Schizosaccharomyces pombe: one gene and its partner. The protein of the gene in region 2 interacts with the protein of the main gene of each other region in a pairwise test. Each region holds a gene or a part of one and is shown on either strand. Other genes may lie near its edges.

Region 1 (3,929 bases), on a different chromosome or scaffold from region 2:
TCCTCTTAAAGATCAATGTGATTTTGTTACGAAACAACTAGCAATTGCCTTGGCTCCTTCCATGTTTGGAAGTAATGCTGTAGAACTTGTTTATTACCTTGCATACCACAGTGATCGCATTTTTGGAACAGTAGAGGAATTGCCGACTCCGGTTTCCCCTGCGAATTCCAATAATGATAAACAGTTAGATGAATCGAAATTCCAAGCAATTGCCATGAAAGAAATGCCGGAAAGACACCCTAAGGAAATTTTACCTGGTCAAATAGAACGAGAGGCATACGAGGATTTACGACGCAAATATCATCTGACTCTTGCAAGGTTGGCTCAAATGACTCGATTAAATGAAGATTCTAAAAAGTCTATCCCTCTGTTGTATGATCGCTTCAACCATGATCTTAAGCTTATAAAGCAATCAGTTCAAGCCAGTTTAATTAGAAAACAATGTGAACTAGATACCGCAAAGTGGACTCTTGAAGAGTATGAATCCAAGCTAAACGCTAAGGAAGGTTGTCAAACCAACATATTTATATAGCCAACTAGTCTATACTACATCGATTATTAGATTATTTGTTTTACTATTCCTTTTTTAGATATCAATAGTTATTTTTTTTATCCTTCAATATGTAAGTGAAAGTTAATAATACTCATCAAAAAGTTTTCTCTTATTTTTATAAATAGTATAGAATTGGAATATGCTACACCGTTTAAAATCTTCAGTTATGAAAACTAAGCATATAGTTTAGAACATATGAGAGTCATTGACATTCCATTGGAAATACTATAATTTTAAATATGCCGGAATGGTGTACTCAAGTAGAAATTGACGTTATGAAGGGAATGAGAAAGAAAGGTCTAAGTATAAAAGAAACTTGAAAAAAGCCTTTTTTAAAACGGCATAAGAATTCATAAGATAATGATTTAGCGTAGATAAAAAGAAAGCAAGCCTATATTGAGACGGAATAAGGCTCATGATGGAACTTAGTTTGCTTCAAATTGTTTACAAAAACCATGAGCTAATTACAAGGAGATTAAAGGGTAACGACGAAAGCTATAAAAAACAGCTATACACTTAAAGTGTTTTCCCAATGAATTGAGTAAGGCAATATTAAGATTGCCGCTGGGTCTCTTGGTACTTATTGAGCACTTCATTTATTTCATCTGACTTCCATATTTTGCAAACCATTTTGTTTTTCGTGGTATCCTTTGTTATTGTTGCAAATTCAATTTTTTCATGAGTTAGGGAGTTACTGTCCAACGTTTTACTCAAAAATTTCACGGCCATAGCAGAAGCCTCATCTAAGTTTATATCATCCTTATACTCCTGTCGCATTAAGCTTTGAACACTAGTACTATTTCCTCCGATACTATTTGCTTGCCAGCTTCCGTAATTTCCAGATGGATTAGATTGGAATAGCTGATATCCACGAATATGATCCCATCCAGCATATAAGAATGAAACACCGAATGGACGTAGCCCACCATACTGTGTATAACCTTGTTTGAGGTCACAAACGCGACGAACTAATTGCTCACAAGGCATCTCTTCATTAAAAGTCTGCAAGTATTGTTGCCCAACCCTTCTAGCGTAGTTAATTAGGATGTTTGCATCTGCGGTAAGCCCTGCCACAGCACATAACATATTGTCTCCTATATGATATAACTTTTCTGCGGATTCTTCTTGTTCTAATAGTTTGCTGGTAACCTTCTTTTCAGCAGCTAAAACAATTCCATCTTTAGCTACAATCCCTAAAGCAACGCCAGCATGGTTGATCGCTTCCAATGCATATTCAACCTGGTATAAACGACCTTCAGGTGAAAAAATAGTCGTGCGAGAATCGTAGCTTCTTGACATAATGAATTTGGTTGATGACAAGTTCGAAAATGCGCGAAGCACTAGATCACGAACATTAATGAGGTCTACCGAAGTGCGATTACCACACTTGCTTTATTCTTTATGTGCTTACTACACTACTATAACAGGACTGACTTTTACCTGTCTTCTAATACAATTAATCTATTATGATTTAAATTAGTATGTTGTTAATCCGCTTATTTTTACAAGCTATGCTGTACAACAAATGTCTTTATAAATGAGAGCTATTTTTACGATAATCAATTTACCTTTAGTACTTTCATATCCTCAAGATATAAAGTTATCAGTGTAGGTTGCTAATAATTAAAATCTGCTTGTAAAAATATTTGAACCAGAGGAGTCAATACTAGTGTAAAAATGTAGCTGCTTACAAATACTTCCAGCCTGCCGTTTAACGATTTACCACGAGTTATGAATTGCTCGTAAATTTATGCGGGTTGTTGTAAATTGACAATATTAAAATTGAAGTTCTCGAAAATGTTTTATTATATTGTACTTGGTAGACCATTTCATTAACTTCTTATTTGTTCTAAAGGAAATACTTGGGAAGACGCTACGTGCGGTGCTGTTATGAGGTTTTTGTAGTATATTCAATAATGTTAACTACACCTATGAATTTATGCAATTTATACAGATTTTTTTTAATAGTTTGTAGAAATTTTTTTGTAATTGACATAACTATTCAGCTGGATTTTGCAAAACTGTTCTATCTATTCTCACACACACGCCCACTGAATACTACCTAACATAGTGTCGAACTTAACTTCTTGATTGTACATATCTTAATGTCACAGCCTTTGCCTCCTGGATGGACTGAACATAAAGGTAAATTTAATGAGCAGTTTATTTGCTAACTCATAGCACCCAGTGGGATTCCTTATTACTGGAATGCCGAGTTAAAAAAAAGCACTTACCAGCGCCCAAGTTTCATTGAGAAAAACCATTCATCTTCTGTTACTGCTTCGCAAGCTTCTTTGGCGTTTAACACAAGCGAAAAGCTGTTTGTTAATGAAAATGCTGAAGAGCGCAAAAATTCTCGAGATTTGAGGAAACAATTACCGGACAGACCAAAATTCAAGTATGTGAGGCGTAAAATTTTGTTATTAACTTTTTTTTTAGAAAAAGAATTCCTAATAATGATTCATGGGTGGTTGTTTTTACTAAGAAAAATCGGTATTTCTTTCACAATTTAAAAAGCCATGAATCATATTGGGAACCTCCTTTGGAAATTAGTAAAGACTTGAAGATATTACGTCTTCCGATACGGAAGCAAATCAGTAAAGATTCCTCACAGAGTCAGAACGTTGATAGTGGTAAAACCAACCACGAAGAAATACATGAATCTAGGCATTTACAAACAGAGATTGAAGAGCCCTCTGGTTTAGAAGAATCATCGGAGGAATCCGTTTTATATTCTGAAGAATTTTATGAAAAATCTGATGAAGAAGAGGATGAGGAAAAATCACACTCCGCTGAAGAGTTGGAGTTTGGTGAGGAAGATATTATGTATCAACTTCAACAATTGGATGATGAAACAGTTTCCTATGATATACAGGAACAAGCTACAAATTTATCTACTGATGATGCTAGAAGAGTATTTACTGAACTTTTGAAGGACAAAAACATCGGGGCATACCAACCGTGGGAACTAGTTTATCCAAAGTTATTAGACGATGATCGTTTTTACGTATTAGATTCGGGAGAGAGACGAAAAGAGGTGTTTGAGGAATATTGCAAGTCGGTGGTTTCTACCAAAAAAATTACGCGTAGAAAAAATACCTTATCGGATTTTTGGACTTTGCTTCATTCACTTCCATCTACCTTGCTATGGCCTCAATTTAAACGTAAATATAGAAAGTCGTCGACTCTTCAAATTCCAGGATATTCGGAACGTGATTTTGAGAAACTTTTCCGTGAGTTTCAGATTCTACGAAAACAGCCTATGCAGGACAAACTGTTAAATTTTAAAAAGCTATGCAAGTCAAAAACTGTAGATCCTAAAAACCCCGACGAATTCACAGAAAGCATACTTAATGACACACGATATGCCGTACTG
Region 2 (3,929 bases):
TTTGCAAATTTCTGGGTCGTCAAGGAATGTGTCGCGTGGAAGAAAATGAAAAGGGTTTTTTTATTTCTTATATTGATAAAAACCCTGCTAATATCTTAAGAAATGAGGCTAACAAGAAACGAGAACGTCAAGAAAAATCTGATGAAGAACAACGTCTTCGCTTGCTTGATGAACAGATTAAGCGTGCTTATGAATCAGCACAGAATAACGAGGACAATAAGGATGGAAGTTCAAGGGAGCAACCTGTACTACATGAGATTGATCTTTCAAAAAAAGGAAACCCGATTCAACTTAATTTATCCTCATCTTCAGATTCTCACTCTGCTCAAAATGAATTTTTTCAAACAAGAAATACACCCACATTTTCTTTTTCTAGTTCATCCTCCCAGACCTCCTTGAAGCACAAACCAAAAAATGTTTTTGCAGAGCTGAATAAAAGCCGTAAAAAGAACAATAAGGATTCTTTAGATCAAGGGCAGAATGTAAAAAGGCCACGGTCAGCTGTTGAAGACATTATTGCTCAAGAAACAATGAGAGAGAAAAGACGCAATATAAAGCTCTAACCGGAGAATTGACGTTTTTAAAAGGCTTCAAAAGTGAGAATTTATTTATTGGTTTATTATTTATAAAAAAAATACGCTTGTACTTGTACTTTTACTTTTAATGTAGCTTATTTAACCGTATATGTGTTATTTAGTAGCCTTTCTGCTAGCTTAGTCTACTTGATTTGAAGGTGCTGTAAAATACATGAAAGCTCCAAATTTCATATAATTTTGCTTTCACTTGATCTAAGTTAGAGATTTAATAACTTATATTTTACTATAGTACATATATATGAAAATGTTCGATACGTTAGTAATTGTAGCACAATTCCGTATACAACCTTGCCTGAACAAACATAATCAGTTAAGACATGGCTTCGGAATTTTCCGGTCAAATACAAGAATTGCTGTCTAGAATACCTCCTGTAACAAGGTATATTCTGCTTGGAACAGCAGCTACCACAATTTTAACTTTATGTCAACTTCTTTCACCTTCGATGCTAGTTCTGCATTATCCGTTAGTCGTTCGTCAGAAACAATGGTATCGTTTATTTACTAATTATCTCTATGCTGGAACTGGATTTGATTTTATCATGAACATTTATTTTTGTACGTAAATCCATTAAAACCTGTATTTAAATTCTAACGTTTTGTCAATAGTTTACCAATATAGCACATACCTGGAAAACTTTGTCTTTGCTAGGAATGCAAAAAAATACATTATTTATTTAGTTAAAGTTGCTCTTTTAATTGATGTAAGGAGTATTTGAAGGTCTAAAGTATGCTTATTAACGTTTCTCTTTAGGCATTTTCCTTGATCTCAGGACTTGGAAGCGCGTTAAATCAATCGCTTGCCGCTGCCATTGCTTATAATTGGTCTTTGTTTAACTCATTTTCCAAAATCCAGTTTTTGTTTGGTTTTCATGTTCAAGGCAAATATTTGCCATATGTTCTTCTTGGCTTCAGCTTTCTAACCGGAGGTCTTCCATCTCTAGTAGTATTGGGTTTTGGTATTATCTCTGCAATGATCGTCAATTTTTTTGATTCGATTCACACTCCTGTTGTCCATCGCTCCAACTCTCCCAAATTGAATTCCCAAAAGGTGTCTGGAACATTCATTGGGAAGGGCAAAAAGTTAGGCACTTAATTTTTCATATTGATGATTTCATTAAGTGCGTTAAAAACAGTCGATACGTGTTCGAAATTTTTATCAATATTTCTTACTCCATTCATCACCTGTCGAGTCTGGTAGGCAAACTTTCACAATTTTCAATAATGCATCAATGAGTTCCACTATTTCAAATTTTTGATGAATAATATTTCACTTCTTTCCTGTACGAACACGACGGCTTTCTCATTCATATGCTGATAGCTAAAAATCCGAACTACACTAATTTGTTGAAATGTAGCCCTTTATTATAATGTTCTTATCTAAATTTCTTTTTTTATCCTTCACCAATAGACTAAAGTAAACATATGTACAAATTGACGTGCGAGGCATATGCACTTAGAAATCTTTTATTTTACGTTCATAAAGTAAAGTGGGCCTATACCACGTAGAGTACACAGATCAACTACCAGCCAGTGTACGGTGAAGCAGGCATGGAGAATTCAAAATGGGGAGGTTTTCTTAAGAAAGCAATGTCAAATGTTGAAACCAGTATTGACAAAGTCTTAGACGGTAATCAGATTGAGGAGATGTCACGAGGAAATGCAAAATCAAAAGATGAGATTATCGCAAAGCTTCTTACGGAAGGACAGGCGCTTTCAAAAAATGAGTTAAAGTTAAACAATACAATTAAGCAACTTAAAAAGAGTTTAAGTGAAGCTGAAACAAAGTTGAAGCGCCTAGACGAGAAACAAGCGACTCCGGAATTACAGGTATCTGACTCAAAGGAGATGGAGGAACAATTGGAACTACAAAAGTCTCAATTTGAAAAGAGGATATCAATTTTAGAGAAAGAAAAGGAGGATCTTCAAAGAAAAATGGAAGAACTTACAGTAGAAAGCATGGAGGTTGTTCGTCTTACGCGTCAAGTAGAGACCCTCTCAACCCAGTATTCGATTCAAAGGAGTCAATGGGTACGTGAAGATGAAAAGAAGAAAAAGGAAATTCAAGACCTGAAAGAACTTTATGAGAAATCCGAGCATGGTGCAAAGAATTGGGAAAGGGAACGTGAGACTTTCCAGAATCAAGTATCTCAAATGTCTAAACAGTTAGATTCATTGGAGAAACTTTGTGAAAGGAAAGATGAAGAAATAAGGAGTTCTCAGGCTTTTAATATGACATTGAGAGAGGAAAATGATACTTTAGCAGCCCAAAATTTGGACTTACAAACACAACTAGACCGATTACAAAGGGAGCTTGACACTAATATAAGAAGTAATGTTAAATCTAAGCCTAAAAAAATTGTCACTACAGGAGGAATTCCTGAAAATAATGATTATACGGTTGGAAAGGTAGATACGCTTAAAGTCACCAAAGAAGATGAAGATCCCACTACCCCTACTAATGCTATTCCGATACCTTCATCTATGAGCAAGCGTGATGAAGCTTTAGAAAATGACAAAGATAATTATTTTGACGACCTACATCCCTTAAATATTTCAACAAGTCCGCAACCATCTCCTTTGAGTTTTTCAGAAATCCCACAAAGCGATACACGGAATGCTTTAGAAAACTTTTTGGATAATCTTCCTTCCCCTTCAGAAGAGAGATCCAGAATTTCCAGATCAGCATCAGAAGCGCGAAAGTTGGGTATAAACGCTCAGTCAAGGTATGCTTCCATAAGCAGTGCAGTTCTTTCTCCTCCTTCGGAAGCTTCAAGAAAATTTAGCCTATACGAATCTGAGGCAATATCACCAACATCAGGGACACCCAGCAATCTTGAAAAAGGTGCCGGGAATGTTCCTGATGTTAGTCTTTTGGAGCAACTTGCTACCACAATTCGCCGATTAGAAGCCGAACTACAAACAACTAAGCAGCAAGTAGCGCAACTTATAATCCAAAGAGATCAGGCCCGTCAAGAAATTGTTGATGCCTATGTAAATAATGATGCAAATGAAGATTCAAAAAAGCAAGTGGAAGAGCTTAGACTACAATTACAGAACCTCGAAAAAGAGCATGCCAGTACGTTGGTAACACTTAAGCAGAAAAGTGACAAAGTGTTTGAATTAGAGCTGGACATTAAGGATATGCGTGAACTTTATGTCAGTCAAATTGATATATTGGCAGGCAGGCAATAACGTTTGGAAAAACTTGTATTAAAAAAAAATAATTTTAATATAAATCATTTTATTTAATTTCATTGATTCTTTCAAATATTTTGAGCGACGATGCTGGAGATGATAAACGTATTGGCAAAATCAAAATATTAGTTTTGAGTA

Evidence for each region.
Region 1: the proteins of tmf1 (region 2) and pre9 interact in a two-hybrid assay, tested with the Schizosaccharomyces pombe proteins (one large-scale study listed by BioGRID).

What each region holds. Positions count from the first base shown.
Region 1 is NC_003424.3:423,372-427,300, forward strand, and holds pre9 (proteasome core particle subunit alpha 3), read right to left. Parts: upstream 1,869-3,929; 5' UTR 1,853-1,868; coding exon 1,106-1,852; 3' UTR 555-1,105; downstream 1-554. Other genes in the region: RhoGEF Gef2, read left to right, coding at 1-532; splicing-associated factor Dre4, read left to right, coding at 2,659-2,698, 2,735-2,951, 2,993-3,929.
Region 2 is NC_003423.3:2,507,419-2,511,347, reverse strand, and holds tmf1 (TATA element modulatory factor-like protein), read left to right. Parts: upstream 1-2,114; 5' UTR 2,115-2,144; coding exon 2,145-3,788; 3' UTR 3,789-3,827; downstream 3,828-3,929. Other genes in the region: kin17 (KIN17-like protein), read left to right, coding at 1-563; Der1 family protein, read left to right, coding at 914-1,151, 1,203-1,297, 1,348-1,689.